Linked DNA regions of Arabidopsis thaliana. The protein of the gene in region 1 interacts with the protein of each later gene in a pairwise test. Each region holds a gene or a part of one and is shown on either strand. Other genes may lie near its edges.

Region 1 (11,382 bases):
CATGGTTACTTTCAAAAGTGACAACAGCATTTTGGAGCCGCCAATTGTGATATCCATTACATGTTTAATGTGTGATGTAACTTGGAGCAAGTTTTACAAAACACTTTGGCCCGTGTACGTCAATACGTGTATACATTATTTCATTTACCTAAATATTCACGTGTCAATGCATATGTCTCAATGTTTCATGAACTCATTACGCATCAGTCGTTTTATTACAATTTCCCGGTAACGTATATAGGTTATATGTCTTTAGTTTCTGCATGAATATATATTGTTCATGTGTAAACACACATATTAGTAATCAATCTATATAATCCGATAGTCATTGTTATTCAAACTGAAAATTGGTTAGATTGTCTTTTCTTTTTTAGACTCAATATAAAAATAGTTCCTTTATCTAGATCCCACAATAATTGTGAGCAGATGGGAAAGGTATGGTGCAATAAATAAGAAGAATTTCAACATTGGTCGTATAACTATTATGACGGTTTCCCAAATTATAACTATAAGTCTATAATCATAACCACACCCTTTTTTATAATAGAAGTATTTTAAAGCCTTTTTTCGTTTTGAATTTTTTATATGTTTGATTTTTTATTTTTTAATAAATTTTTAAGTAAATCAATCAACGTGTTTTCTTTTTTGTGCCTCGTGTACTTGCTTTCTCATCAATGCCCTTTGACTCATAATTCATTGGGCAGTTCATGCGTTTTTAATTCCATGATTTTTTATATTTGCATCGTCACCTAGCATTTGATCATTGCTTGCATGTTATAATTTACAAGTTGTACAAAAACATCTATGAGTTTAATGTGTTTACGCGCGTACATGTCAAAAAATAACGTATCGTACTGTACGTTTTTGGATTTGTTTGGATTAGGAGCAAATTGAAGCAAACCGAGATGGAATGCGAGTATCTCAAAAGGTGGTTTGGTTCATTAACGGAAGAAAACCACAGGCTCCATAGAGAAGTAGAAGAGCTTAGAGCCATGAAGGTTGGCCCAACAACGGTGAACTCTGCCTCGAGCCTTACTATGTGTCCTCGCTGCGAGCGAGTTACCCCTGCCGCGAGCCCTTCGAGGGCGGTGGTGCCGGTTCCGGCTAAGAAAACGTTTCCGCCGCAAGAGCGTGATCGTTGATTTGTGTATCTTAATTATTTGAGTATGGTTTAGAAGTCAACGAAGGTCTGCTATTGAGCCTACAAAATATTAACGATCACATGATTTCGTGTAAATACTAAGAGACTCTGTTCCGCTTTGTAAATATTATTATTATTATTGTTAACCAGAAGTCCCTTATCATTTAATCTTGTTTGAAATAACATAAGATACTGTTTAGAAAAATTATATCTCAGATCATTATCACAAAAGTCTACTAAATTCAATTGTTGAGTTTATTACTCCCATATTGACCCGTAAAATTTGTTCGTTGTATTGGTCTCTGTTAGAGTTTGCTCGCGGTAACTAGGATGGGACTCCAGCTTTTTGGAGTTGTGGAAATCACGCGAATTTCTGAGTTTCTCTGAATTGGTGTTTCTTCTTTCGTTTTCGCTATAAACATTCGTTCTCCTCTTTTACTGTTTTGTTATCATCTTTTTTTTATAGATTTTGATCTTTTTCCTTTTCTTGTGTTTCTTGTAATTTCTGTCACAATTTCAAAAATGGTATAAATACTTTACATTTTACCAAAAAATGTAGGGAGTGCTACATTGTATATAAACTAATTTTTAACTAATTAAATTCTAAATGACATATGTTGATTTTTGGGGAAAAAAGAAAACTTGTGTTCTTTGAAGACAAATTATAGTTGCATTAATGTTGTGATCTAAGTCATAAGAACGCGAAACACTGTAGCCGTTAAATTTAGTGGCCCATCATAACTTGGGCCTTCGACTAGTTCAGTGGTTTGGTACCTCTTAGTTAAATTCGGTTCGGTCCGGTACCAAATAAATTTGGCCGAGGCCTAAAACTAGTTTGTGTTTATTTCGAGACACCAGACTTGATCAAGACATCAGACATACCCCTCTAGCTCATTGGTTTGTTAAACCATCAAGCGTCTGCTTAGGGAATAATAAGGACGCTTTAGCTCTTTTGAGTTTTGAGAAAATCACAGCTGTGATCTTTTCTTTTGCATGGGACCAGAATCCAGATCATCGTGTCTTACCATAAGATTTGATCCATTGCGAGATATTACATGTAACGAACGAACATGCATATGTTTATTATTATAAGCATATATATATATGAAAAGAGCATTGATCTTGTAGGTACGCCAAACTCGATACGTTTCTATCTAAGGGTCTATAATTCTATTTATATCATCGTAATCTTGATACTATAATATGTGTTTGAATGCTAGTTTATTTGTAGTTAATGTAACAAACAAAAAAAACGATTAATGGTGAGTGTGACTCGTGCTCTCGTTTCTTCAGTCTTCGCCATGTGATTAGGTGTGTGTTAGAAAATATGTCGTTAATTATAACAAATATACCCCCTCGTCCGAAAATACTCAAATCTCCTAAACAATATCCCATGATTATTGATTGGTCGTATCAACTATCAAGTAGTGTTAGGTCAAACTCTATTTGTCTAGAAAATAAATATATGGATCAGACATGATTGGGTTGGACATATAATTGAAGTGTCTTATGCGGGCGGAATAATAATAATATGATCTTGGACGGGAAATGATATACAGTACTCAAGTGCTTAATCCATGATCCTTTGAATTTGAGCAAGTTTATCTACATCACAGGTCTGGTAGATAAAGATGTGAATGATATTCTTACGACTATATATTTTGGTTACCAAGCAATAATCATTGTTACAATAACACATATATATTGTGGAGAGAAACAAAACTATAATTTGTTATTACCAATTCATTCGGATGCCATACTTCTTCAGTCGGCTACGATGTAAGTTTGATTTTATCGAAAATGTTGAGATCAATGATCACGGGTCAAGACGGCTTGCAGGGAGCTCGAAGACAAGTTGAACGTTGCCTTCGGAGATAGTGAAGCCGATCAAAAACCGTTTTTCAATAGTTACAATATCATTGAACTGATCTCCACATTCTCACTTTTCTATGTTTCCTGGTTTGTAAGATTTTTGAACGATCATTTTAATTTGCTTCCATTGTATATTTAAAGACCAAAGTCTTGATGGATGATGAAGTAGACTTGAAAATTGATGAAACCCGTTATTGTGTTGTTGTGTTACAAATCCCATCTATGATCGTTGATCTCATAGATGATCATTGATCATTTTTCTCATTTTTCTATGATGAAGTAGACTTTTTCCGGAAGGCTTATGAGAAAAAAATACTATTCTTGTTTTGTAAACATATGTGTTCAATAAAGAATCTATTTTCATTTGCAATCATTCGGATTAATTAAAGTGATTGCTGGATGAATGTTTTGAATCTCTTTTTACCATTTCGCTACAAAAATAAAAAAATTGCGAATTTCGCATCCAGATATATACTAGTATTAAGCATGGGAGATTATTCACTCCTCGAACACATCCTATGACTATGAGTTACACAAATCAAAATTTTTACATTCCAACGTTGATGATCCTTTGGATTTGGTATTTTTCCATGTCATACTATTGTAACTTTGTTTGTAATTTCTTTCTGGTCAATATTACTCTATTGTGGATGCAAGATCGCATAACTAGTCCTCCATCGAATCAAACATGATCACAATTTTAAGAATCAAACTGGACTTTTATATACCGAAATAAAGTTACAAAGATTTCGCTGAGATGTTCTTACTTCTTAGAGCTAGATGAGTAAGTAATATTAGGGATTTTCTAGTGTACAATTGATGCCTCTATACATTACTCTCCATCAGATTTATAGGACTTGACCTCGTCTGCTTCTCTGATATTTCCCAGAAATCTCGCTCCTTTTAGTTTCTGCTTGAATCTATCAAATCCTAGTGATTTTGCGACCACCTACTTCTTTATTCTTTCCTTTTTGTTGGTTATGTCCAAACTGATTTAAGAGTATCCACATTGGTTATTTTTATGAGTGTTTTTAGATGGCTATTTTTAAATATAAAAGAGTAAAACAAATAAAAAATATGAGGGTCATTAAAATGAAAATTATATCTTCCTAAAACATTTAAGACATCTATACCTTTAATATTATTTTATATGAAATACATCTATGAAAAATTATTCGATGAGGATGGTCTAATGAGTCGGAGAGTCTCAGACCAACATCTATCTATAACTATTTTTTTTTTCACTGGAAATATAGATTTCATTGATAGAAGATCTGAGTACAAGAGCTGACAAGAGAAACACTCTTCTAAAAGCCGGAGAGTACATGGGACCTTCCAGGAACTAAAAACATATTTAAATGAAACAAAGGGGAAAAAAACCGATCTAACAAATTACATCACATCTGATCAAGTACTTCCCAGACCCAAAATCCAAGAGTTCAAACGAAATATACAAAGTCTAAAACAACAATGATAAACTGATAGATCTGAGACTAGAAGCCTCACTTAACTCAACCTAAACACGAATGGGCGATGAGATAAAACCATCATCCAGAGACCCAAAGGAGTGAGAGCCTCATGAAGGAGAGAACGAGATCGGGATCTTCAGGTGGAATTTCAGAAGTCTGAGGCGAAAATTTGGATAGAAACGCTTCTGCCTTGGATGGATCGGCCAGATCTGACTCTGTTCTTGAAAAAGACAAAAGACAAACAGCAAAAACCTAAAAAGAAAAAGTTTTAGACTTTAAATATCTAGATCTGAAAATTCAGATTCACAACCGTTGGAAAAAAATCTCTCAGATGTGTCTAAAGAAAAAAGATAGAATAAGAGCAAAACAAAAGACTTCGGTTCCGGTGCTGAGAAAGCCACCGGAACCGGTAACCCTAAACGCAGGCGGCGGCTGAAGTTTTAGAGATAAGGGAGAGTAAAATTTTAAGAGTGAGAAAATGACGAGATGTGAGCTTGTAAATACTTTTTGTAATATAAGTAACTATAAGTAATATTTTTTTTGTAATACCTCAAATTTTATTTTTAATGATATTTACAAGTTTAACAAAACAAAAACAAAAAACAAAATATTATTCTAGTCATAGCAAGTGAGAATTTTTGAAAAGGGAATAAATGTGTGTAATTAATTCAACGGTCCAACAGTGGCTTGGACCTAACACTAATGACATTTGTTCTTCTTGTAATTTTTATGTGGCTGTCTTCTTGTACCAAGTACGTAGACAATAGTTTGATTCTATTTGGAATCAAAACTCAAATTACATTTACAAGAAAAACGATCACAGATACAGTAATTCGTAGTATTCGCCAAAGTTCCTTTTGCAACTTTCAAAAAGTGCAAAAACAAGACCACTTTTTCGTAATAAGATAGTAGCAAAAAAGCACGACTATTCCATAAAACTGTCCACGTCCCTCCAGAAAACTCCCCCCACATGCGATTTGCCACGTGTCCCCACTCAACTACACACAAAGCCATTTTAAATCAAATTATTAATCAAACTTAAAAAACGTAATCGTGTGCTGATGATGATGATGACACTGTCACTGCCTCAAAAACCTCTATAAATTAGTCCTCTTCACCGAATCCTTGTAAATCATTACTGTACTTTTCTCTCTTAACGGTTTCTTTATTATTCTTCCCATTCTACCCCTCTTCTTCCTTCTAATTCCCCCTCAAATGCCACTGTCTTCTCACTAAACTCCAAAACCCACCGGAAAAAATGATTACGTGGCACGACTTGTACACCGTCCTCACCGCCGTGGTACCACTTTACGTAGCTATGATTCTCGCCTACGGATCCGTACAGTGGTGGAAGATATTCTCACCAGACCAGTGCTCCGGCATCAACCGCTTCGTCGCTATCTTCGCCGTCCCTCTCCTCTCCTTCCACTTCATCTCCACCAACGATCCTTACGCCATGAATTTCCGCTTCGTCGCCGCCGACACGCTTCAAAAAATCATCATGCTCGTCTTACTTGCTCTATGGGCTAACCTAACCAAGAACGGTAGCTTGGAGTGGATGATCACAATCTTCTCTCTCAGCACTCTCCCAAACACTCTTGTCATGGGGATCCCTCTGTTGATCGCCATGTACGGAACCTACGCAGGTTCTCTAATGGTCCAAGTCGTTGTTCTTCAGTGTATCATTTGGTACACTCTCCTTCTCTTCCTCTTCGAGTACCGTGGCGCTAAGCTTCTTATTATGGAGCAGTTCCCGGAGACTGGTGCGTCTATTGTTTCGTTTAAAGTTGAATCCGACGTCGTTTCTCTCGACGGTCATGATTTTCTTGAGACGGATGCTGAGATAGGAAACGACGGGAAGCTTCATGTTACCGTGAGGAAATCAAACGCATCGAGACGGTCACTGATGATGACTCCACGGCCTTCGAATCTTACCGGAGCTGAGATCTATAGTCTTAGTTCGACTCCGAGAGGTTCTAACTTTAACCATTCTGATTTTTACTCTGTTATGGGGTTTCCCGGCGGGAGGCTTTCGAATTTTGGTCCGGCGGATTTGTACTCCGTTCAATCTTCTCGTGGTCCGACTCCACGGCCTTCGAACTTCGAAGAGAACAACGCCGTTAAATATGGATTTTACAATAACACTAACAGTTCTGTTCCGGCGGCCGGTTCGTACCCGGCTCCGAACCCGGAGTTTTCAACCGGTACGGGTGTTTCAACTAAACCGAATAAAATTCCTAAAGAAAACCAACAGCAACTGCAAGAGAAAGATAGCAAAGCGAGCCATGACGCTAAGGAGCTTCACATGTTTGTTTGGAGCTCAAGCGCTTCTCCGGTCTCCGACGTGTTTGGCGGAGGTGCAGGCGACAACGTGGCAACGGAACAATCTGAACAAGGTGCTAAGGAGATTCGGATGGTTGTCTCTGATCAACCTCGAAAGAGTAATGCTAGAGGTTCTTTTTTTTTTTTTTTTTTGTCATCAAATATTATTTAGCTAAAATTGCGGAAAATTGTTTACATAAATAATATGCTAGAGGTTTGTTGGTTTAATTTTATTATTATTCGAATACTATTATTTTTGTATGTATTCATGATTTTTGGTTTTCTCAGGTGGTGGTGATGATATCGGCGGTCTTGATAGTGGAGAGGGAGAAAGAGAGATAGAGAAAGCTACAGCAGGGCTGAATAAAATGGGGTCTAATTCCACGGCGGAGCTAGAGGCGGCTGGTGGAGATGGCGGCGGCAACAACGGAACACATATGCCGCCGACAAGTGTGATGACACGACTGATATTGATAATGGTGTGGAGAAAGCTGATCAGAAACCCAAACACGTACTCCAGTCTAATCGGTCTCATATGGGCTCTTGTTGCTTACCGGTCAGTGAGTCCAATCATTTTCTTACTTACAGATTTTATGGATAAATGTTATAATAAGAAAAGGAAATAATATAATCATCTATGCATGGAATAATTGTAGTGGGAACTAATAATGAGTATGGGTTGTTTTTGGAAGCAGGTGGCATGTGGCTATGCCCAAAATATTACAACAATCCATCTCCATACTCTCAGATGCTGGTCTTGGAATGGCTATGTTCAGCTTAGGTAAACACTAACCTTGCTTCATGCAAATCTAGACTTGTTTTGATGATGATCTAATCTTTAAAGTTGGGTTCAAATTTGTTCTCATCTTATCTGTTAAAAAAGATTCATTTAATGCAAAGTGGGTCTGTGTGTTTAATTAGTCGTAGTTGTCCAGCTTGTAATTGGTAAAAGTCATATAAACTGTACAAAGCACTTACCCAAAGAGAGAATCCTGACCCTCTGACCCAGACATGTTGGTGTGTCCGGTCCCCACGCCGAGTCCCCACTGGCTCTGTCTACTTATTTGGGTCTCACCAAGTAGATGACCTAACTCTTTGCTGTCAATTTTCTCAAATCCTTTTAGTTAATGAATTGCTTATTTTTGGTGTAATTTTAAGGTTTATTCATGGCACTTCAACCCAAAATCATTGCTTGTGGGAACTCTGTCGCCACGTTTGCCATGGCGGTCAGATTTATAACCGGTCCGGCCATCATGGCTGTTGCTGGGATTGCCATTGGCTTACACGGCGACCTTCTCCGTATAGCCATCGTTCAGGTATACAAATTTATAACGTTACATGATATAGCTAGGTCTATTATAAATATTACATGATCACGATGATGATGTTGATGAATGCATGAATTATTAGGCTGCGTTGCCTCAAGGAATAGTTCCGTTTGTGTTTGCAAAAGAGTACAATGTGCATCCCACGATTCTAAGCACTGGGTAAGTTCCAAACTTATTTTATGTTACAGCCACATTTTTATTTTTGTTACAAACTTACAATATATTAACAAATGTGTGAATGATGGTGAAAAATATGGATGCAGGGTCATATTTGGAATGTTAATAGCCTTACCTATAACTCTGGTCTACTATATTCTTCTTGGCCTTTGAATTGGTCCCTTCAGTATCAACTGGCTTTTGAGAGAGCCTCGGAGATTGGGCTATTTATTTCTCGGTAACGAGGAAATAAGCAAAGCCTTTATTTTTCGTGGGAAAGAGTGGAAGGTGAAGAAGAAGATATGCCTTTGGTTTTTGGTTCCAATATTTGTGGAACACAACAAAAGTACTTAGGATTTAGTGAACAAGACTTGAATGGATTAAGGATCTTGTCTTCATTAGACGCCAAGAAGAAAAAATCTCTCTTCCTTACCTTTATTTTTTCATTTTCTGTTTTTGTTAATTTATGTGTAGATTTTGGCTAAGCAGATATGTAATATGCACCTTTTTTTATTAATTGAAGTTTCTAGTTAAGTGGTTTATACTGAAACTAGCTTATGAGTTGGATTGAAATAGTCCTATACTATATATATACACCCTCGTACTGATTTATTTTTTCCACAAATACCATTAATATTAATTCATCGGGAAGAGATTCTCCGCTAGAGAGAGCCATTCATGAACCATTATGCTTACATAGGAGAAAATATTATTTCTACCCCGAGCTTTTTTAGCTAAACAATCAGTTCGAGTGTTAAAACTACGAGAAAAAAATCTAATACGGAAAGAAAGGAAAAAACAAACTAAGGAGCGATAGGATGCCAATTCCGCTGCGAATGTCGGTCAATCGTCTTGATTGTCAATGATAGAAATCAGGTCTGAACAGTCAGAAGCAAAAGTTTCAAAAGACAGTAATTTTATTTTATTACAGTTAATTTAAGCATATTCCTTGATAACAAACACTGTTTTACGACAGAAGCAAAATCCTAATCTCTAATTAATTAATCCTATGATCATACGATGCATGTTTACGGTCCCGTTTTTTTAAGAATACACGATCTCTAGCAGAAAAAAATCTCAAAAAGTTTATGTTAACTTCAAATTCTGTGAACTTCCGCACATGAATCTAAAGACCACCCTTTATAGAAAAAATGGTCCCGAGACTATCAAACGTAGTCTTTATAATGTCAAAGTAGTGTGAATCTCATTTTTCAAACATTTTTAATGTTATGAATTGATCATCTGATTTTCGTATTAGGATTGGTCATTCAAATACGGTATGATTACTCATCCAACAAGTAGTAATTTAACGAGGCATCAATATACTATATAGAAAACAAAGCAAATATTCCGAAACTAACATCAAAACTAATGGGAGAGTGGATGTGAAGAAAATTCAATGGAATGCAAAATCTAAGATGGACCAACATGCAGGCTTCGCCCGAAAGCGACGACGCATTTCACTTGACGACAAAAGTTGCCATATTATATCTTTTGCAAGTAAAACTTGTTGTGTTACTCGTTTACACACATGCCCCGATATTCTTATTCTTATCTATATGCCCATAGAAGTTGTGAGTTCTTTTATTTTGGGAAATTCTAAAGGATTCGTTTTGAACTATACATTTTTAAACCTATAGAGTTCAAACTTTTATGGAAAAAGAAAAACTTCCCACGTGTGTTTCGAACATCAAAATTCGAGCATCAAAGTATTATAACAACATGGACCACATTTTCGATTATATCAACATGTATATCTTCGTGGAACTAATCAACAGTCAAAATGTTGAGTTTATCATATTTTCGTGGAACTAATCAACAGTCAAAATATTGTGTTTATCATATTCCCACATAGTATCGATAATATCACCAAAAAGTTTTTTTCATTCCTTCAAAACTGAACAACTTCGATCATGCATTCACTTTGAAAGTAGCAGCTGGCTATTCCTTTAACTGATTTAATTGTGACTATAAATCGTTAACTCTTAGTTACTGTTTCGATAAATTTACTAATCAAATCAAGAATATTTTACCCATAGACGTCACGTTTCACTCAGAATTACTTAGACCATTCTCAATGACTAACTCTATTTTAGAGGAAATATAGTTGATTTTGCTCCATTGTAATTCTCTAAAATAGAGAAAAATATATCTACATTTTTCCTCTATTTTAGAGGCATACAATACAGCAAAATCAACTATATTTTCTCTAAAATAAAATCAACTCAAAAATAGAGGAAAAAATAGAGTTGAGCATTGGAGATGCTCTTAGTGTTTAGAGCTAGTGCCATCGACGAATCTGAACTTTCTGAACTTTCATATTTTCAAAAATTCATATTTGAGGTTAGAGTGGATACTAATAGGAATCATAACTATCAACAAATTTCCATACTTCCGGGGTTGTATGTCTACTTTGTTGTAGTATCTAATAATATGACTCTTTAATCTGTGAGATGAAATGCTTTGAATTAATGGATTGAAACAAAATCAAAAAGCACAATCGATAAAGATATAAATCGAATAAAACAATAAAGATGAATTAATGGGGGTATTGAGAGAGAAAGGTGATGGGCAATGTATGAGGAACCACGAACACTGGTCTAGTCGTAGGGTCGTTCTCCTTACATTTAGATGCAAAGGTCCAAATTGCATAACATGCATAAGATTCACATCTCACGTACGTATCTATCATTTCCAATTTAATGTCTTATGGATAACAAATCCATGCGTGTGTATACAAACTACAAAACACCAAGTACTAAAGCCTTATATGTCTCGTGTGGTGGCCATAACATCGTCTAGTATATAGAACTTTTGTTTGTTTTAATTTATCATTCTAATGCACATACGTATAATGTTAACTGATGAACTTATGTCGTTCAAGTTAGATGAGTTTGATTTGTAAATAAGGGAAAAAAGAAGCAAACTTAGGTGCATACGTTTTTATTGTTTAGTAGAATATTTGTAGCCTTAGAATATTACTTTCCTTGAGATTAGATTAGACTAGTCTCACATTTTTGAGGTATAAAATGCTTAATCTTAGTATTTACTTTTTACTGGGTTTGTTACCGGGTCATCACTCATCAGCTTATGG
Region 2 (11,382 bases), on another chromosome or scaffold:
GTTATACTTCATTTGGATTTTGGATAGGCCACAATGGCAACCAGATTCTAACAAAAAAAGTTTACCTTTCTCTATGTGGAAGCAGAACAGTTGTCTTTGATGTGTCATCAACTGGACAGGCGATCAGTTCTGAGTTGTAAAATTCAGTGCTCCTTCTCTGGATGAAAAAGTGGTTCCCACGATGACTGACAGATGAATCAATTCCATCTACACGAGGTGTCAACACCCTGAGTCCATCCTGAGTCTTGGACACATCAAGCGAGAAGACAAATCTTGTAGTTTTGCTTTCAGATGCAACAAATAAATACTTATGGCTCTCAGAAGCGTGGAGTTCAAGAGAAAACATATCATCCTTCTCATGGTAAAGGCATACATCACTGCTCTGCTCTGTCCCTAATTTATGTAACCAAACCTGTTACAAAGAATATATGAAGATCAGAACATGAAAGCCAAAAATATTGACGTATCTCATAATAAGTACAGTCAAATTTGGTAAGAAAATATGGCATCTATGAGGTGTATAATGTCAACAATTGATCGAAACGGTAAAATCTATATTCATGCAAAAGTTAATCCCTTCCTCCAGTACTATACACTAAGACAGTAGGGTGGGAAAAGATTGAAGGTAAACCTTATCAGGTCGCAGGATTTCGTCCATTGTTATGTAGAGCAAAGCATCATTACCAGCCCATTCAAGATAAGAAGTAAGTCCTTTAAGCTGTTGCCCCACTGGTTTTAGGGCTTCAGAGTCGATGACATTCACTGTATATATCTCATCACCTTTTGTGTCCTCTGCATATGCCACCAATTTATGATCGGGACTCGCCTATAAAAAGAATCAAGAAAATGAAACATCAAGTTAGTAAAGAGCAAGTTTGAAAAGGATATCTCTTAGGACGATTTTTAAAGTCTATTTTCTAGTCAAACCTTGAAGGCCCCAATTCTGTAGTAGTCATGCTCTTGAGCCTTGGTATTCTCATCCAATATCACATGCTCAGGAGGAGCATCTGGACCAGTTGGCATAGTATCATAGACAGAAGGCTCAGCTTTGTTGTCAGTGATCAAACGTCTACAGTGCTGAATATATTCCTTTCCTTGAAGATTTTTCTCATAATAATAGTAAGGACCCTTGCGTAGAGGTGCAGATATATCATCTTCTTTGATCCTCCCTCTTATTTCAGCAAACAGCTGATTCTCAAATTGCTTGGTCCCTGAATTTTTATTTTCCAGTCTAATTTATCACAAGCTTGCATAATCAACAAGTCACTAATACTCCAAATTGAAAACAAGGAAAGCTAAAAACCCTAATCCCCTAAGTATCACAACGTCACTGACAGAGGCAACTTGAAAAGACTCACCAGACATGACGAAATCAGTGTAGTGATTTTCTTCACGAAGATAAGAAAGCATGTCGGGATTGGTGCGAGAATCGTCACGGAGCCAGTAGTAATTGTCAACCCTAACGTCACCGAACATCTCCATCACATGCTCCACCTTCTTCGCTACAGGAGGGGATCTCGATTCCGCCATGTCTCTCGGTGATGTCAACCGCACTGACGCAGCTCCGGTTTCAGAGGAAGAGGAAAAAGAAGAAGACAGCCGTAGAATAGAGCGGCGGCGAGGAACAAGAGGAACGAGGCAAGAGAGAGGAGTATCGAAGTGGAGAAGACGACTACGAGTCGCGAGAAAGTGAGTGCCGAGAGATACGAGTCCACGCCTTATTATCATATTACGTGTCCGTTTTAGTTGCCTAGAGACTCGCGACCAGTTTGTTAATAGAGGACAGGTCATATCCGGTTTGGATAAACCGGCCTATCTATGATTCCGGTTACAAAATTATTAACTCTTTCGTGAATTTTTGCTAGGATTATTGAACAAAACCAAATAATTAGATTAGAAACAAATTACTGTTGAATGTTGATTAATGGTCTTCTATGTTCTTGTAGTGGACTATTTTTGAGCTTGATGAATTTTATAAGCCTGAGATTAACCCAGAACCTAATCAAACCGTGCTAAACTGCAAATAAGCTGAGATGATAAAAATTGGTCTTGCTTACAGAACAAAGATGAAACAAAACAAGAAAGAAAGCACGTATAATAATAACATCCAGAAGAGGTTCAGGTTAAAGTGCATCAAAACCACTAAAATTACCAAAGTGACATTCACTTTCACAAGAAAATGTTTCCAAAATGGAAAAAGGAAAAAAAAAACAATGGAAGTGTAAACAACATCAGAAGATATACCTTGAAAGAACATAAGCCAATGGCAATCATGATAATGGCTAACTTGATAAGAGCAATACGAGACTAATAATGATGTAGGATCATCATCATGAATCACAGGAAATAAGGAACACCTGTCCTTGGCCCTCTCATTTGATTGTTCTCTTCTGTCTCCGTGAAGAACTTCACTTCCCTTTCCTGGTAATTAAGCATATTTTAACAAATCATTACTGTCAGTGAGGACCAGATCCTAAACACTTCCCAGAAACAGGTCTATATATGAAAAGTAACACACAGAGCACAATCAATATGGACAGACTGATTCCACGCGAACTGTGAATTGTTACTAAATAAATGGCTTAAACATCATAACTCTATCTCACAAGAGTCACTCATGTGTATATGTTTGGGTCGAGAGACAAGTATCAAAGGCAGTAACTTATTTAATCAAAAAGGAAAAGTAGAATCCGAAGACGAGTGCATAAAAGTAAGAAGAACATGAAACAAGATATTGTGGCAGATCAGTAACAAAAGAGAAAACAAATGCCTCACCATGTTGTCATTGAAACTCAATATAGAAGCCACATTCCCACAACGGTAGCAGTAATTAGGCGCAGACCACACCTTTACAAAAAAAATAAAGAGAAGAAACATCACCAAGCAGATTATACTTCCAACTATCCAAAATGATCATAAGGAAGCAAGGCACTTACAGTTACAAGACCTTTATCTTGGAACATGTACTTGAGACCTTCTTGTACAAGCTGGTGAGCGCGACATACTAGATCAAGATTGTTAATATGGTTAAACTGCACAAGAAGCAAAACCACAGATCAGGGAACTGAAATACATTTATTTCTTTTCACACCTTATTCAAATTTCAACCCCAGAAAAAAATATAAATACCTCAGTGGTAACCCTGGACCCGAAAAGCCAACCAGCTCCACGTGGACTGACAGCCCATGTTTCAATATCTTCAGGATCACTCCACATAAGATCACAGAAGGGTCCTTCATGCGGTATTTCGCAATTCCGCTCAATCAATCTTATCTAGAGAACAAAATAACATCTAAATGAGTAAATGAGATTTAATCTAATCATAAATAACACTTGCATGGTGAAAACCAAAAGTAATTTAAAATAGCACATTTTAACCTGGTCAATTGTCCGTACATCAGGTGAAAGGCCACCATGAACACATAGAACCTACATTGAGGATGCAATACGTTTTAATATGGTATACAGCTAACTTATGCATTCATAAAATTATACAAGAACACATCATAACACAATGCCAAAGAAGCTGAGAAATACTTACAGTGCCATCTATAATAGCTGAAAGTGTAAGATAGTCAAAAACATCCGTGCAATATCTCCAAGCATTAGCATTACCATACTTCCTTTGGCATTCGTCATAGAAACCATACACCTAGCAAATATAAAATTGGTACGACAATTTAAGAAAACTATAAAAATGAACCTGCAGGGCACAAAATATCACTACAATCTTCGTCCTTGACAGTGGATGTTAAAAGATATAGGATATGGTGTAGGATAGAGATAAATCAAGAGCTTCCGAGAAGAAAACTTATGGTTGCAAAGGGTTCACATAAAATGCATCTTAGTTAACATCTATGCCTATATCTAGCATGGCATTGCCACATGTACAAAATAAACTTTCAAAACTAGTTATAACAATTGAGCGAAAATTACTTCTCAACCAGTAACTGCGTGAAGAGCACAGCAAGTCAGCAACAATAGATATAAATGGATTAGAATAATGCATACCTGAGTTAGCTGTCTACTTTCATGATTTCCACGCAAAAGAGTGATATTGGCTGGATGTCTACATATTGAAATACAAGGAAACGAGTGATTTTAAGCTCACAGCAAAGTAAGTTAGAATATAAATTTCCTGGAATACAAGTTAAATCGATTTTCCAGTAGAGCAATGCGTTTACAGCTTAAAGAGCATTCTCAAGAGAACTATGATATACAGTGTGAAACGGAAGGATGACGATCCATGACATATATAACGCACAATTTCTACGGAAAATCTTACCTTGCTTTAAGAAGCAAAAGAATGGTGAAAACTTCAAGACTGTTGTAACCTCTATCAACGAAATCCCCCTGAGAAAATCCCCCACAGATAATTAAACTATGTGTTACATATTGATATGTCATACGAGCCTACGCCCAAAGTCAGAGTCTATACCATAAATATGTAATTGGTCTCGGGAACATGACCTCCGGTCTGGAAAAGTTTCATAAGATCATGAAACTGGCCATGGATATCACCACAGACGGTGACAGGACTGTTGACAGGTTGTACATTTGATTCCTCAATAAGAATTTCTTTCACCTATATAATAGTCAAAATATCTTGTGAATTACCAGAGTATCTTAGCAAATCATTGTCATGAAAAAAGAAGAAGACGGCTGCTACTACAAGTTTCAACACTAAAATTACTATAATAAATCCTCAAATAACAGTTTGCAAGCGTGGACTTGGTGCATCCATAAATTGGCTAAAGAAGAGCTAAACTTATCCCTAATTCCTTAGAATTTAGAATTGAAATAGCAAAGTCAATAAATCCTCTATTGGAAAAATGAGAGAAAAACCCTAAAATCCGTAGACCAAAATGGCAAAGGAAACAGTAAGGGAGAGAGACCAGATTCAAAGTAAAGTGCCACAAAGCAAGCTCTAAAGTCTCAAAAGAGTAAGCGAAGAATTGGGTTTTTGTAGATGCATGAATATTCGGGGAAGAGAAAGCAAGCAAGAGAAGAAAGAAGAAAGAAGAAGAAGGCGTACGTATTCGCAGAGAAGTTGAAGCTCGTCCTCAGAGAGATGTTGGCCGTCTTTAACCTTGGAAATCCATTGATCTAAATCCATGGCGGCCTTTTATTATCCTCTCTGTCTCTCTCTTTCGGTGGTGAAGTGGAAATTGGTGCTGTTTCTTCGATTTCAATGGTGAGTCTCGACGATCTCTGGTGAAGAATTGAAAGAAAGATAGATCTAGCAGAGCATTGCTCCGTCCGCTTAGGGTTACGTAAGGGGGAAAGAGGGAGAGAGAGAGAAAGGGGAAACACAACGAACCAAACAATCTCGACCCGAACCCGATTTGGTCTTCCTCCATCCCCAAACTCTATTCGTTGGATATTTATTTTTAATCATTTTTTTGGCAACATATTAAACATCAATTTAATTTTTATCTATTACTTCATTACACAAATCTTTAATGGAGTATACTACACATTTTCAATGTTTTTGCAATTCTTTTCTTGGTAATTTTATTTGTCTACTTGAATGTGACAATTGATAACACCTAAATAAAATTCCACAAATACTTAAACCTTCTTTATAGTATTTTTTCTTCTTTTTAATTTTTTTAAAAAAACACATTTCGATATATGTGTTGTTGAATTTGAGTAAGACCTTTTTGATAATTAAAAACTCCTAAAAAAAATTATTTAAAAGTCTTGTTAAACAAATTGTGTCTAAAGACACATTTCGAAATCTATGTGATGTTGAACTTTTGAGGAAGGTTGTTTGTGGGAGACCGTACGGGATATGTTAGAAATGAATCAATGATCTTGGATAGGCATTAGCAATACGATCGTTCAAGAGCGAACCTCACTCGATTCATTTCAATGTTTATGTTTGGGTCTTCCCATTTGGCTTCTGGTTAGGGATAATTTGAGAAGGAAAAGTATTGTTATGATGACCTCTAAAAATGACAAAATGGAATTTGTCTCACCAAAAAATCTCCAATGTTCAAATTACATCCGAAAAAATCACTAGTCGGAGGGCCAAATATTACGGAAAGTATATATTGGTGTTGGTTTGGTTTATACTTGGTCGAGAGGTGATCCGAAACTTAGTTCCACTTAAAAAAGTGATGCATCGCAAAGGTAATTCGAAATTTAAATTGTGAAGAGTTTACTCAGCTGCAAGAATAGAAATGATTTTTCTCAGACATGTTCATTTCGGGTTTGGGCTGGATTGAGTTTTTTTTTAACCCACGACAACATTCCAAGAAAGATCACTTGTTGAAGAGGGATTCCACCAACTGACCATCTGATACAAGTGCATGATTTATCATATGTAATTTTATCCATCAAATTATCTAAATTTTTGTAGAGTCTAAGTCGAGATATCACTGAAATCGGCCAAAAAAACTAGTAGTTAAATAGTTTTTAAAATACACATTGTCCAAACACGATAAAGATTTTTTAAACTCAAAACAATCTTGTATAAAATCTATACAATTTTTTTTTCCCTTTCTAACTCCATATGTTTACAAACAAACAAACTTGTAAGGAAATTTATATTATTATCATAGTTTACCACCTTGTAGTTATTTCTCGCTATGTCCATTTTAATTAGCTTGATAAAAAACTTAACTATTTAAGAAATATAAATATTGATTTGTTTTTGCAACGACTATTTATATTCAAATACAGCAATGGTTCACTGGACTTTGGAATCCTTGACAAATAGATATACTGTATAATATAAAAATTATTTACTGAATTTGCCAATAGATTTGGGTGGCAAATGAAAAACATGACTCTTTCAGTCCCAAGGAGCCTTCTCACTTCTAGCAGCAAAGCCAAAAACCGTAGTTACATCAAACGTGTAGAAAAGGAGACGTGCGTCTCAAGAAAAGGAAGTAACCATTAATACCTAGTACTCCTCAACCTCCCCCACCAATTCATCTTCACCTTCTCCGCTGAACCACCTGTTTCTTCACTCCCAAGTTTGCTAAGTATCAGTTTCGTTTCCCTTAGTCTCCCTCCATAATCTTTCTTCCATGTCTCAAACATCTGTTTCAGCCTTCGTAGCTCCCGGTCCGGATTCAAGTTTGCTTCCACCTGACCAGATTTCACTTCCATCAAGAACTTTCTGTCGTCACCAAATACCTGAGCTCTTTGTCCAAATTCCTCAGCTAACCGGCTTATCACGCTTAAACCCACGCCTACACTTCTTGACCTGCCATGGCCCATTTGGTAATGACTACCTCCTGAATCTAAATCTGTTGCATCGCTTGCATTCACCGATGCATCCGAGTTTCTCGCTGAGTCCTCAACCTCTAGGCTTTTCTTTGCGATGGAAAGACTGGATTGCAAAGATTTCATCTGCTTTTGCCAAATTTCTTCCATGGATTTCATCTTTGTTTCATATTCAGACCACCGGTTATCGTACTGCTGGACTCTTTGTCGGAGGATGTCGTTCTCCTCTTCTTTCTCACGAAGAGCAGCTTCGGTTCTAAGAACCCTACGCTGAAGATCGGAAAGATATGATGCCTTCACTAGCACCTCGTCTGACTCATTTCTCTACATAAAGAATTGGTTTAAGAGTCTAGCAATATGCATATATATCATGTAGTCAAATGCACGAAGAGAATGAAAGCTTTGAGAGGACCTTGGTGCCACCAGAACTAAGCCATCCAATATCCCCCGCACATCTTCTAACCAGCTCTCCACGAATTGCTACAGAAAAAGGTTTCAGCATTTCTTGAAACTTCTATTTTTTAAAAATATATTTTGAGGTTTAATTTGTTTCAATCATGAGAATTAATCAACCCTATTTTACCTGATTGTATTACAGCAGATGCATCAACTGTGGCTTTATACTGTTGGCTAGCAATCCTTCTCTTAACATGGCTTTGTATAGCAGCAGAAGCTCGATGCCTCTGCAGTAACTCCGTGTATTCCTTTCTCATCTTTTCTCCACGAACAACTGAAACAGAAGGATGTGTGAGGTATGGTTTCTAACGACATAACAAATACAAACCAAGATATTGAAATGAGACAAGGGGCAATACATGATTGAAGAATAGTAATTCCGGTTTTAAGCTCTTTTAGACGACAGCGAGCTTGGTGCCCTCTAAAATAACTTTGAAGACGTAAAATGCCATGCAGAGTGCGATTCCTTGTATCTTCAAGAACCCCAATCTGCAATGGTGAAGCAAGTATACTGCAGTAAGAATGTCTAATTTGTGGCCCCTAAAGTCAAGACATCAGACGACTAGTTATAGTACCTGGCCAGTTCTGAAAAACAATTTTGTGTAGCCAACTTGGTACATCTCTGGCAAGATATTAAACTGATGGAGAATTGCAACCGAAACACTTAGAGGATCTTTTGCTGCAATGTTCTCCAGCAGAAGGAAACCATACCTAAAGTATGACAAAAGAAAAACAGCATGACCATTCAACATTATTGCAACTAAAAAGTATGGGAAGCCTATTATAAGAGGACATGCAATACAATGAAAGTGCACCAACTGGAGATGGAGTTGTTACCTTCGGGCAAATTTATGATGAAACATTCTCGTGGGAAATCCAGACCGGGATATTCGAACGACCTCTAGGACACCACAACATCTTAGCTGCTGTAAGACAAGTCCTTGCTCATACAACCCGGCAGACTGAACATTGTTTGGCTTTATGCAGCGAATAAAATGTGGGGTAGTGTTCCCTAGACGTTGCATCAATTGGAAAAGTTGACCCTGAAAAAAATATCCCGGCATCGTCACTAATCAAATATTATAAGATGACGTTTCCTTCTAAAGTAAGCAGAAGCCTTTTGGACAAGAAATGGACAACATATGTTGATGAGATGAAAGCTGTGATGAGTAAACCCTCAACAAATTTTAAGAGCAGAAATAGAAGCAAGCTGTGTTTAAGGAAATCACCCAACCTTAAATTTAGTTGCTACACTCAGTCGCTGGGAATCAGCTCCACCTGCTTTGTGTAAAGGACCGACAAGAGGTTTTTCAGAATAAATGAGCATACTAGAAGCAAACGCCTGAGGGAGGTGGCAAGAGCAAGACGACAAAAGTTGAATAGAATCTGAATGCAACAAATCTCGGTTCTTCTCTAGAAATCCAGTCGTCTCATATGTAACCTGAGTTAGAAAAAAATCACACTAGGTTACTGATTCATTCTTGATTTCTAAACCTCAAAATTGATCCCAGAAACTCTACTCTATATCATGTCTTGTGTTCTGATATATCATGTAAAATGGTGCCACTGAGTTTTTAGAGCTATTACCTCTCCAGCATAATGCGCAACTGTGAAAGCCTTCCCCCGATCTCCTCTAAAACAGGAATTATCATTTAGATGTTGTTTAAGCTTGTTGGCAAGTGTCAAATCTGTGCCATTTGGAAATGTGGATTCCTCATCCAGAAGAGAAAGCAGCCCTAATGGTTTCTGCACAGAAACGATTCTTAATTGTCTTTAAACACATGTTTTGATATAACAATAGATCGTTCCAACACGATAAACTCAACAGTTGCTATGCAGCTTGATGATGAGACATCATCGGCAAAATGTTAATATATTATCCTGAGTAACAGACATACTGATATGTAACATATGATGATTGCTGACTCTAGATGAAATTAGCTATCACATTACCTTTTCAAAGAGACTAAGACATTCTTGGTTGTCCTCAAAATCAACCCTTGTCCAGTCAATGCCATCCTGAATATATTCCTGGAAGAGAAGACAGAAATATAAATCCCTCAGAACTCGGTAGCTGGTGTGTACATGTCCATGCTCTGCCTAGATATACTACAAGGACCCATAGCAGAAAGGGGTTTACGTTACCTCCTGCTCAAGCTTGAAGAGATGACGGTTGAAGTGTTGCTGCAATCTCTCATTTGCATAATTTATACAGAACTGCTCAAAACTATTTTTCTGCAACATGTATAGTATTTATTCAGCAAACCAAATTAACATTGGTACAAAATGTAACACAGAAGATGTAATGTGCAGATAGCTTATGTAAGTTCATGCAGTAAAACGCAAAGGGAGACTAAAAACCAGCATACATTGAATGATTCAAAGCCATAGATATCAAGAATGCTGATGGATCTGCCAGTTCTCCTCTTTCCCACCGCAAGAGATTTGTTAATCTGTTCAACTAGCCAGTCAAATAGGCAGGCATAGATTGACTTTGCTAAAGCATCTCTTGCGTCAATGGCCTGGAAGCAAATAAGAAAAACTTTCACCACAAAAATAAATGAACAAGGCTTGATTCCAAATAAGTAAGAGGGGGCATAGATCATGATTACAGTGTTAAAACCAACCCTACTCAGAATAAAAGTACACACAAAGAATCAAGTGAAAAAAAAAATCTTTCTAAAAGGCCTACCTGCGATAGTGTTAGCTTCTGTACAATAGTATCATTATTAACTCTCATATTACGCTTTGATAGAGCTAGCTTAAGCTCATTGATGTTGCACCCAATCAATTTAGCAACAGTTGACAAACCTGGAAAACAAAAAAACAAAACAGCAGTTATATAGCCTTGCATTGCGCACCCTGCCAAATGAGCTACAGAGATTAAGCAGAAAATTTGCTCCAAGTGAATGAAACAAAAAATATAGAGGTGACATTTTCGAACAAAATACAGAAAAACGTGATAAATTTAAAGGAGCAGGTATATCACTATTAAGGACTGAAGAGCCATACTTTCATCTGGTTCAGGTTCAACGTGATTTTCGTTGTCAATAATGGTAAAAGAAACATTCCCTAGCCATAATACTGCAGCAAGCATTGCAAATACATTTTCTTGATCTTCTTTACTAACATGCACAATATCTAAAGCTTCCTGAAACGGCAACGTAAAAGGTCGAAATAAATGTCTCGAAGTTGCAGAGAAAGAAAAAGAGAAAAGGTTTGACTTAATGAGGGAGTTACCTTAACGGCGTGAAAACGTTCAGCGTCATCAACTCCGTTAATTGAATAGCAATTGCTTTGTTTCAAATAGTTATACTGTTTTGCACTTGTCAAATTTAACTTCTCTGATTTAACAATGAGCGAAACAAAACGTCAGATAAACAATATTGTTCCACCAGTTAGTCAGTAACCATATATATGAATATGTAAATTTCTATCACACTAATCATTTTCACTTGCAATAGATCCAACATAAGATCTTTAAAAGAGAACTGTTGATCAGATATCCAAATAATACCTCTAAGTGTAGGTGAAGCCCCAGCACAAAGTTGATAGAATATATGATATGACCTTTCTCCTTCCGTACATTGAACCACTCTTGACTATGAAAGTGTGACAACAGAACATGAAAGGATGTCAATATTAAAAATCATTTTTCAACATGAAAGAAACTGAAGCAGCAAAAATATT

Evidence for each region.
Region 2: the proteins of PIN4 (region 1) and FYPP1 interact in a protein complementation assay, tested with the Arabidopsis thaliana proteins (one study listed by BioGRID).

What each region holds. Positions count from the first base shown.
Region 1 is NC_003071.7:177,558-188,939, reverse strand, and holds PIN4 (Auxin efflux carrier family protein), read left to right. Parts: upstream 1-5,175; 5' UTR 5,176-5,740; coding exon 5,741-6,935; intron 6,936-7,092; coding exon 7,093-7,360; intron 7,361-7,499; coding exon 7,500-7,585; coding exon of another isoform or gene 7,586-7,596; exon of another isoform or gene 7,597-7,962; coding exon 7,963-8,120; intron 8,121-8,214; coding exon 8,215-8,291; intron 8,292-8,395; coding exon 8,396-8,462; 3' UTR 8,463-8,907; downstream 8,908-11,382. Other genes in the region: HB17 (homeobox-leucine zipper protein 17), read left to right, coding at 884-1,142. UniProt on the Arabidopsis thaliana protein: Acts as a component of the auxin efflux carrier. Plays a role in generating a sink for auxin into columella cells. Maintains the endogenous auxin gradient, which is essential for correct root patterning.
Region 2 is NC_003070.9:18,652,628-18,664,009, reverse strand, and holds FYPP1 (Calcineurin-like metallo-phosphoesterase superfamily protein), read right to left. Parts: upstream 5,503-11,382; 5' UTR 5,117-5,502; coding exon 5,036-5,116; intron 4,586-5,035; coding exon 4,439-4,585; intron 4,354-4,438; coding exon 4,286-4,353; intron 4,070-4,285; coding exon 4,012-4,069; intron 3,653-4,011; coding exon 3,542-3,652; intron 3,430-3,541; coding exon 3,379-3,429; intron 3,274-3,378; coding exon 3,130-3,273; intron 3,033-3,129; coding exon 2,937-3,032; intron 2,848-2,936; coding exon 2,776-2,847; intron 2,422-2,775; coding exon 2,338-2,421; 3' UTR 1,958-2,337; downstream 1-1,957. Other genes in the region: AT1G50380 (Prolyl oligopeptidase family protein), read right to left, coding at 66-412, 632-826, 928-1,211, 1,359-1,728; VIIIA (P-loop containing nucleoside triphosphate hydrolases superfamily protein), read right to left, coding at 6,904-7,560, 7,649-7,716, 7,820-7,966, 8,052-8,181, 8,268-8,403, 8,530-8,735, 8,927-9,133, 9,280-9,438 and 7 more. UniProt on the Arabidopsis thaliana protein: Catalytic subunit of protein phosphatase 6 (PP6). Dephosphorylates phosphorylated phytochromes, with a preference toward Pfr forms.